2 linked regions of the Callithrix jacchus genome follow. The protein of the gene in region 1 interacts with the protein of each later gene in a biochemical or structural test. Links are inferred from orthologs where the notes say so. Each region holds a gene or a part of one and is shown on either strand. Other genes may lie near its edges.

Region 1 (5,262 bases):
AGAGCTACTGAGTGCTCAACAATGCCTAGCACGTGATCAGGGTTCCAGAAGCTGTCACCAATATTATTAGCAGGGCCCGCTAATATTATTTTTACTGTGATCACCAGGCCTGGGATGGCAAATTGGTTTCAACTCTTGAGTCAATCCCAGTCCATAGGAACCATTGCTTAGCACCTAACATCTTCATATGTGATTCATCATTCTGGGTCTGAGTGGAGCATCTGAAAATGCCTTGATTGATTAGCACTGTCCGCCTGGGCACAGTAAGGACAATGGTCCTTCTTACGCCCTATGTGCTGTTGCTGATCTGGTGCGTATTGTGGTCCTTGGACTGTAAGTTTTTAGGACATGGATTCAGGTAGAATTCTGGCTCAGATCTGGGGAGTGAAGTAGGATGAATTACCTGAGCAGAGGACCCTGGCTGCCAGCGACTGGCTGCAGAGGTTGGAGTTGTTGAACCGCCAGGAGCAGTTGGAGAGAGTGGGCTCCTCCCCGTTACATGAGTAGTACATCCGGCCGGCCAAGGAGTGGGGCAGCCCCTTGGGTCTCTCCACCACAGTGCCACAGCCCAGGGTCTGGCAGAGCACCTTGGCCTCCGACGTGTACCACTCACTGTCACACACCGTGTTCCAGACCCCTCGGAAGTGGACCTCCACCTGCCCCTCGCAGGCGTCAGCACCCCCAGTCAGGCGCCAGGACTGGTGCTCTGGAAGGAAGGGGCAGGAGGCAGAGTCAGGTCAGGATCCTTTGGGCTGAAATTCCTGCCAGCCCAGACCCAGCAGTGTAGGCACCAGTGCAGCCATTTGGTCTTCAGATCTTGTGTCTTCTCCCTCCTGTGTCTGTGTCCCCCGAACCTGCCCCATCTGCTCTAGCCAGCCCTGCTGGGATCTCTAGACCCTTGCTACCCTAAGTGTGGTCAGTGCAGCAGCAGCAGCATTGCATTGCCTGGGATCTCCTTAGAAATGCAGACTCTCCAGCCCTGGGCCAGACCTACTAAATCAGAACTACCCCATCTCCTCCATATCAAATAGAGGCACTGGCTGGTCCAGAGCCTTCTGGCCTCTCCTGAACAGACCAACAGCCTCCTTAAAGGCCTCCCTGCCTCGTCTCCCCTTGCTGATTGAATGCAGGAGTCCAACTCCCACTTGGTAAGAGTCCCACTTTCTTTTTCTCGCTCTGTCGCCCAGGCTGGAGTGCAGTGGTGTGATCTCAGCTCACTGCAGCCTCCACCTCCCAGGTTCAAGTGATTCTCCTGCCTCAGCCTCCCAAGTAGCTGGGACTACAGGCGCGTGACACCACGCCCAGCTAATTTTTTGTAGTTTTTTTTTTAGTAGAGACAGGGTTTCCCTGTGTTAGCCGGGATGATCTTGATCTCCTGACCTTATGATACACCCACCTCGGCCTCCCAAAGTGAGTCCCACTTTTAATGTCACCTCTTCCAGGAGGTGGCCTGCCTTAGCTTCCAGCTCGGCATCGCCTGCTGCCTCTAAACTCCACCTGACTGCCTTTCTTGGGGGCATTTACCACTTTCTCGCCTGAGTTATGTTTGTCTCAGTCTCATCTCCCTTCCTGAACTCCAGATCAACGGCAGGTAACATCTCTGCCGCACTAACTCCAGGCTTGGCGCCGGTAGGCCTATGGTGAGTGTCAGTGGTGACCATGGTTCAACGACTCCGCCCACTGACCTGAGCACACCACGCCCGCGTCCTCTTTATGGCCGCAGTAGCGCTGTCCCGGTAGCCCCGGGCAGTCCCACAGGTAGACTTCGGTCCCGGAGCAGTTCACCTGGTCCCGGTGGATGGGCCCGCGGCCGGGCGTGAAGTGCAAGCCGGGCAGGGCCTGGATCGCCCAGCCGCAGCCCAGTTGCCTGCACACCACGTGTGCGTCCTCCAGGTCCCAAGTGTCATCGCACACCGATCCCCACTCGCCACGCTCCAGCATCTCCACACGGCCGGCGCAGGGGCTGCCACCGTCCACCAAGCGCAGCGCGCGGTTCTCTAGGGGTGGGAGGGAGTGGTGGACCGTGGGGCACTCGGCGAGGAATGGAGGGTTGGGGTGATGGTTGGACTGGCAGGAGAGTTTTGAGCGGGTTGTGGACCCAGTGAGAGGGCTGTTGCCTGGTGGGCGAGACTGGGAATCCCCCTAGGGCTGCAGATAGGAAACGTAGAGATGCAGGCTGGTGGGAGGGACCAGAGACCTGGTGGGTTGGGCCTGGAGGTCAGGTTTGGGGACCTGGGAGTCACTAAGGGACCTGTGAACCTGGCAAGTTTATGTATGGGGTAAAGGGGTGGAGATAGAGGCCCGGAACGGGAGTGGGGAGGGAAGCAGCGGGCCCAGTAAGTGGGTTAGAGACCGGGTTGGCATTGGGAACCTAGGGGTGGGGCTGGGGACCAAGTGTAGGGGTGGAGTCTGGAGGCCAGACCCGAGGAAACGCTCAGGTCTGGAAATGGCTGGAGGCCGTCGTCGGATGTGGGAACCCGGTGCGTTTGCGCTGGTAGGCGGTGGGGTGGAGGTCAGGAGGGCGAGGCTCGGGTCCAGGGGCTGAAGCCAGGGGCAGGGGCTGAAGGCCTGGGCAGTGGGGCAGGTGGGGGCCAGGGTAGGGGGTGCTCGTACCTTCACAGGTGACCCGGGCCGGCCTCCCGTCGCTGCGGCACGCGTGCTCCACCACCTCGCAGAGCTGCCACTCGGTGCCGCTGCACAGGAGGGCGGGCGCCCCGGCCAGAGTGGCGTTCGCGTCGTCGGCGCTGGTGTTCCCGGCTGCGGGCGGGGGCGGCGGCTCGGGGGTCGGCGGGGCGAGCTGGGAGGCGGCCTCCGCCCCGCCGCAGCCCAGCGCGCGGCACACGGCCTCGGCGGCGCGGCCGTCCCACAGCGCCCCGCACGCGGGCTCCCAGGACGCCTCGAGCCGGACCTCCACCGTCCCGCTGCAGCCGCTGCTCCCGTTCGTCAGACGGACCCGGAGCCGCTCCCCTGGAAGTGTTAACCGGAGAACTGAGAGCGGTGGGGCCCGGGCGCGCGGTCGCCCAGGCTCTGGCACTGACTGCGCGGACCGTTGACAACGCCCTGCCTGGCTCTGGGTCTCAGCTTTCCAATCTGCAAAATGGAGCTGGACTGGCTCGTCCTGAGCCCGCCTTGATCTGGATCTGGCCTCTAGACTCCACCCCTACACTTGGTCGCTAGCCCCATCCCTGGGCCCGACCCTGTGGTTCTCCTTAGAGTCAGGAGCAGGTGGGGCTCAGGAGTTAAGGGCTAGAGGTTAAGATGGGGGACAGACAATCAGGGGTCCAGTTTGCACCAATCCTCCTCACTTGCTCCTGTCTCTAGAGGCACCTTTCTGTGAAAGAAAGGGAGAGTTCTGGGTTCAGGGGCCCTGGTTCTGTGGGTGCATGCTTCCCCCTCCCCCTCCCCCCTCCTCTGAGGGTACTGTCCTCGCAGCTGTCACATGACCACAGAACCCTGGAGGATGGGCAAGGGGCTGGCTGTGGGGTTCAAGATGGGTGGCTTCAGCTGATGGTGGTTCTCACTTCCCAAGACCCCCTTCTTTGGGAAGCACTGCCCCTTTTGGCCCAGGATTGCACCCCCAGTGCTAGCATACAGCTTTGCACAGAGTAGGTCCTTAATAAACGTCTGTTGAGTAAATCAAGGACCCGTCTGGTGGAACCCTGCCACCCCCACCAAGAGCTCTTTAGCTTGTTCTCAACAAATCCCCTTAAAATGCTCCAGCCAAGCTTTGCGCAGTGGCAGTATCATAGCCAATGAGGCCTACCTGAGGCACTATTATTGCTAATTGAACACTTTTCCCAATACCCTGCCATGACGACTTGAAATATAGTCAGCATTGGCAATTTTTGGCAGTCTCTACGGGGGCTGAATTAAAAAAAAAAAATACTCCAGCCATACCTGACCATCTGTATGTGACTTATCAGTAGGCTCTCAAAAATGGTAGTTTTAAGATCTCAAAGTGAATTAATAGTGGAACCTCAGGTGATAAGTCAGGAAGAAGTGTTGTCTGGAGTCAGGGAGCCCCCCTGGTATCCTAAATGTGTATTGCCCTTCTTTATTACCCTGGGCGACCACCTGCAGAAAGCTGACCATGGACCCCAGAGAGAATGTTTGCTTACCTGGCTCCCATAGCTCACTGTCTGCACTGCTGGTGTTGAGCCGGTCAGATGGAGCTGGAGACGGATGACCTGAAATTAACCAGCAGCAGCACAGTGGGTGAGTGAGTTCAGGTGTGGAGGCCACAGAGGCACCCTGATGAGTAGGGGGCACTTCCTGGAGCCTGTGGTGGCTATATGAGGCCTTTGGAAAGACATGGTCCTCAGCTTTGGGTGCATTTGCATTTGCCTCCCTTCCCGGTAGGGAAAGTTCTCAAACACTGGCGTTTCAGGATCCTCTGCTTTATCTATTCATTGCACACACATCTTCAGAAATCGGAGTAGAACAGGTAGGACTAGCAGTGGGCATTGGGGCCAGACCTACAAACTCACTTTGTGACCATGAATGGGTGACTTAATCTTTCTGTGCCAGTTCCAATTTGTTAGCCATGACACAGGAAAATATTGTAAGGCTGAAATGAGACAAACTATGAAATATTTGACATACAGAAGAAGCTCAAAAGTGGGAGTGTTTTAGAAAAAAATAATTTGTTTGTAGAATATGTTGAGAATTTCATACCAGACTTTAGAATAGTTGGTACATCCTGGGCTGGGAACCACTGGACTGCAAAGTGCTTTCAGACACTGAGAAACTAGCATTCACTAACGGCTATTCTATGCCAGGTATTTGCATATATTATTCTGTTTACTTTCAACAATGCCATGAGGCAGGTATTAAGCATTCTTATTTTACAGATTAGGAAAAGGAGGCTCCTGTAACAAAAATCAGTCGTCCCTGCCAAATAGTGTCCATTTGTTCCACAGGGGCTACTATCCATTCTGCCCTGGGAGGCTTACCTTTTTGGATTAACCAGTGTCTTCCTGGGTCTTATGGTTTCTGTCTGATTTAGCCAAGGAGCCCTAACAGAGATAGGAAGCTGCAAGCGAAGATGTGATGCTTATTCCTCTGGCCCCTCCCTGTGAGGTCCCTCAGGCAGGCTATGTCTCTCCTGTGAAGGACATTGTTTATTCAAGGTGACCTCTCACTGACTGTCTCCTACTGGGACCCACGGATCACTCCCTAGTTGTGTCTCCTTTGGCCAGAAGATGCTCCTAGATTTGGCCGGGCGCGGTGGCTCAAGCCTGTAATCCCAGTACTTTGGGAGGC
Region 2 (5,262 bases), on another chromosome or scaffold:
TGCTGGGATTACAGGCGTGAGCCACCATGCCTGGCCTGCAACAACATTTTTAAAGTTCATCTCTCCTATTAGACTGAAAGCACCACAAGGGTAATGATTGTGACTTGGTTTGTCACTGATATATGCACAGTGCCTGACACATGGTAGACTTTCAAACACTACTGTCGAATGAATGAAGGGAAGAAGCATGCTTTCTCAGTTTCTATTAATATTAAACCATGTACCATCACTTAGAAAAGTGGAGTTTCCTTGGGACATTTGGGTGAATTGTGTTTAGATGAAAATTTTATTCAGGATGAGTTAGAAGCTGTTGTTAGCTGGATAGCTAATTTTCCAGAGAGGAGATTAAAACAATTTTATGGGACAATGACGGACAGTGAAGGCTCTGATGAAGAATCTGTGTGCATATATTGGCAGGAGAATAGTAATGTTCATCAGCAACTAGGAATCTGTAGGCTGTGAGACTTGATGAGCTGTCTATTCTACAAACATGTGCAAGAATGGGTTGGTGCTTCTCTACCCACAGTTCCTTTAGACATGTTTGAAAAGGAAACAAATCTTGTTTTTGGAAAATAAGCAAGCAATCAAAGATAAGTAGGTAAAAATAGGATTTTTGTGTATCCATATAATTTAGAATCAGATGTTGATTTACTTGAAATACTTTTTTTCAGCTTTTGAGGAGCAATAGAGCCTTAAAACTCAATGTTGCAATCTACCTGTCAAAACCAAGATGCATTTAAATTTAATTAAATGCACTAAAATCCAATTAGGCTTTTACACACTTTTGTTTAATTTTCCCCCCACCACCATCACAGCTAATCACGTAGGCACTATATGGCTGTAACCAAGTTTTTTGCTTTGTCAATCTGCTATCTATCCTTCTCTGCCTTATCTACAAGTAAACAAATAAGAGTCCTCTTCTTTTAGAGACCTATGTACCTTGCATCTCTTAAACACAACCACGCCACACTATCTCTAAGGCACTAGATTATTGACTATTGGCACAAAGACATCACGAACAGTGATAACGGAGAGCTATTCCACATGCGGTTCTATCCTCTGGCTCTATTCCCTGTCTTTTATTTTATTTTATTTTCATGGAACCGGCCTGGATAATATTGCTACACTGGAGGCTACTGCTTTCTCCGTAACTAGCCCCTGATGGTAGACACATTCAAACCCAAGCAACATAAGCAAAGAGTAAATGGAGAAATGGCCCAGCTGTGGACATAATAGTCCATGAAATTTACAGGGCTCCCAAGGGAGTGCTCCCAACATCAGACAATCAGAAGCAACCATCTGGTTCCTTTATTCCCCAGTGTGTCCCCTTATATCTCTCTCAGAGTTTTAGACATATGATCCCACATGTTTTTCAAGTATTATGAGTCAAATGAAAGAGTTATAACTATGTACTCAAGACAATTTCTAAAGTCCCTTTATACTCAGAGGGATTGTTGTGGATGATGTCTAGAGGAAACCTTATTGATAGTACTGTTGAGTGCAAAGGACTTACTAGAAAGTTTGTACTATACCTCCAAGCAAGACTGACATTTGCTCAAAGCACTCTGAATTCTAGTGTCACCAGAGTGTGGTATGAATTAGTTTATTGTTTCCATGATTCATCAGGTACATCAATAATATGGACTGTCATGAATTAGGACATAAAGAACTCAAGTTAAGTGTCTGTTATTTATATATGTATTTTTCTGTTACTCTGAGGCAAACATAACTTTTGGAGTATTTGGAGATTAAAAGCAAATTAAAAGTTAAAAAGTTATGTCCACAGTGATTTTCAAACAGTTCTGTTTCCAGAAATTTCCTATCCCTCTATATAGAGGACCATCAACCAATAAATAACTTCTAATTGTCTCTACTTCTTGTTCCCAAAACTGAGTGTATAGTACTTTGTATTGCCTGAGTTTGGGTGTTAATATTATTCTGTAACATAAATGATAATTCTGGGCCAACTGCAAAGCTGGACACTTCAAGAACATGGAAATGTTTTCTTAAAATATATAGTTTCCTTAAGGTCCATATGAATATTGTTTATTGACACCACAAATTGAAGACACTTAGAAGATGGAGATTTACCACTGCCAAAGGTTGTTATTAGCAGAGCCATGCAAAGTTTCAATATTGCAGTGCAAATCTGGACAAAAGTTGAGCTTATCCTGATGCTGTTTCTCTATCACATCTATTGCAACCAATTATTTAAGACAGATATACCTGCAATTTATTTGAAAAGATAGCTACATGAAGCTATTAGAAGCCTTTGAAGTGAAGCTGCTGATGAAGAAATAGGTGACTTACAGTGAACTGTGATGGTTGTTGAAGCAATCATGCTTTTTTTGTCTATCAGGGAGCACTTGTAGTCTCCTGTTGCATTGCGCCTCACATCTGTCAGTGTGTAAGTATTTGAGCTTCTTATTCCTTCGGGCTGTCCCTTTTGATAGAGGCAAAATGTCAGATGATTACACTTGGTTGCTACAATAAGAACAGTTGTATTTCTTGATGAAGATAGCATTTTATCAGGTAAGAAAAAAAGGGAATGTGTTTCATTGATCGCACAAAAAGAGTATAGTTTGTGTTACCAACATGATTCCTGGGCAAATCGTTAATATTTTGGATCTATGGAAGTTGAGAGCTGATTTATTTTCTGTTGGTGACATTTATTGACAGCATGGCTTTTGCTCATGTTTCAAGGGCATTTTATAAAAAGTCCAGTCTTTTATTTTTATGATTTATGCCTTACGTAATTTGACAAAAATATTTGAGGCAGCTTAAAAGGAAATATGCCATATATCCAAATCAAAAGAAAAAAACAGAAAGAAAGGAAAGAAGGAAAGAAGGAAAGCAAAAGGGATAAAAGGAAGGAATAAGAAGAATGAGAAAGAAATAAAGAGGAAAGGAAGAGAGAGAGGAGAAGAAAAAAGAAAATGACAAATAAAAAAGAAATTAAGACTAGGAAAAATATAGCTGATGTAGGAATGATAGATGTTAACGAAGAAAGATATTCAGCAGATATTGTTGCTAAAACTGAGATGCAAATGTGGCTCTGTCATCCCTGATAGCCAAAGTGGAAACCTAATTAGTTTTACATCTTCCTTCTGCAAATTAAACCAAAACAGCAATCGATTTATTAGGGGAAACAAAGTTTTCTATCAGCATAAAGAAATTACTTATACAGTCTTCTGAATAATGTAGTGAATGATATTCTTAAGTACTACCGAGTACTGTGGTAGATGAAATTTGTAGGCACATCCCTGCAGTAAAATGCAGCATTGAGTGACACATGGCTTCCCTCAAGGAGAAAGTGATGTCAAGCACAAGGATGTGGAAGAGCAAACAAGCATCCCAAGACAGAGCTCTCTCCTTGTTTGCTTCCAGATCCTTGTGACATGCAGAGCACATCTGAGAGGAATTTTCAAAGTATCCTCTATCATAGCATTTCCTTCAGCTATGATAGGGAGAAAAGTTGAGGAAATGGCATTCAAGATTATACATAATGACAAAAAACAGCCATTACATTATTCTAAATATAACCTGCAACAGAACTATCCCTGTTTCAGAGGGTCAGAGGTGTGTTCAGGGAAATGTGGGCAGATTTAGAGTCCACATCCGTTCATAAGCTGTCATCAGTTTTCATTTTGTAGTTATCTGCTTCTGAAGAGTAGATTCTTACAGCTTATTTGGATTATTAAACCTTAAGGTTTTGCAATTATGGTTTCCTGTGGTCAGCTTATTTTTTCTTGTTTGTTCTTGAAATCTCTCAACATTGAGGAAAAAGGCAAAAACTGGCAGGTGCAGAAAAAGCTTCCACATGACATTTTATAGGTGGTGTCTCTTGTCCCTAGCAATAACATTTTTCCTCACTTAATCTACCCATGAAGTGCAATTCTTCATGTCAGCCAGAAGTCAGACAACAGGATAAAATGATCGTCATCCAGCTCAAGTAATACTTAAGCACTTACTGGTAAGTAAAACAAAAACTCCTCTGGAGGAGGGTTGCCATTTCCTAAGCATCTAAGAGTGATGTTATCCCCTTCTTTGATGGCATTTTTTGGTGGCAGCACTTGTATTGTCACCTGTTCTGTAGGATCTGTAAGAGTCACAGACACAAGTTAACCATTTTTGTCAAGTACCGAATTACTCTGTGCATACAATGTAAATGACTAAATTATACATAATTTTCTCAAGAAGCTAGTAATGGTAATTGCTTAAATATACCTTTTTATAGACGGATTGAAGCTAATAGCTACTTGCTATACAAGTACTAATCTTAGTTAGGGCAAACTACAAAGAAACCCTGTTACATAAAAATCAATTTCTTCTTAGCAAAATGTCTTTAACTGAGGTAGGAATGGCTGTAATTATTTTATGCATAAAAGACCATAGGAACAATCAAACTGCATGGCTTTATTATAAGAAAATTTAATTACATATTATATGAATCTTACAGTTTGGAAGGACAAAAATCAGCTAGCGAGTAGCTAAAGCTATTAGATGCTACTGTACTCTATTGAATAGTAATACTTCAGATGAAATAAAAAGAGGAGACATGAGCTAAACAACTCCAGCAAGGATTTGGGCATGCAGGAGAGTAGATCTGCTTTAAAAAAAGAGAAAAGATGAATCCTATGAACTCTGGGAGACCCTTGACACAATCAACAGGACTGTAAACGAATTGTAATTTTGTTCTGTTCATTGGAGCCAAGATGTAACTTCATTCAATTTTGTTCATATTTATGGAGAAAATAGAGCTAAAGGGTATGCTTCAGCCCAGGCTACTGCTCAGTAGTAGAATGCTAATGAAATTGAATGCTGGATACAGTGAACCATATCTAGCAAACAGAAAATAAAAGGAGGTGGTGGTAGCAGTTACAGGTGATCCACTAACGTGTCCATTCGTTATACAGCTGGACAATACAATGAATAATAAATGTTGAAATCATAGAGTGCAAAGGTATGTTTTGTAGAATGTTTTCTACAAGACTTAATAATTATTGAAGCATATATCTATATTTCCAATCTGGTGACACTAAAAATAATCTATCTATGAAAACCTATGCTTTTTTCATTACCTAACAAGGGAGATGAGTAAGTTATAGTTTTGGAGGCTTTGTTCTATCTCTCGCAGCCATTTATTTACCTTTCTATAAATAAAATGGAAAAAAACTTAGAAGGTTGTTATAGATTGCTTCTCTGCCTTTTCTCTATGCTTGGGTACCTCTGAATATTTGTTGAGCATATTGTGAGGTTAAG

Evidence for each region.
Region 2: the proteins of CD6 (region 1) and ALCAM form a complex in vitro, tested with the Homo sapiens proteins (4 studies listed by BioGRID and IntAct). The link is inferred for Callithrix jacchus from reciprocal best matches to the Homo sapiens genes CD6 and ALCAM.

What each region holds. Positions count from the first base shown.
Region 1 is NC_133511.1:118,043,329-118,048,590, reverse strand, and holds part of CD6 (T-cell differentiation antigen CD6), read right to left. Parts: intron 4,188-5,262; coding exon 4,119-4,187; intron 3,865-4,118; exon of another isoform or gene 3,724-3,864; intron 2,968-3,723; coding exon 2,614-2,967; intron 1,998-2,613; coding exon 1,686-1,997; intron 707-1,685; coding exon 404-706; intron 1-403.
Region 2 is NC_133516.1:96,593,186-96,598,447, reverse strand, and holds part of ALCAM (CD166 antigen), read right to left. Parts: intron 4,100-5,262; coding exon 3,972-4,099; intron 2,444-3,971; coding exon 2,311-2,443; intron 1-2,310. UniProt on the Homo sapiens protein: Cell adhesion molecule that mediates both heterotypic cell-cell contacts via its interaction with CD6, as well as homotypic cell-cell contacts. Promotes T-cell activation and proliferation via its interactions with CD6.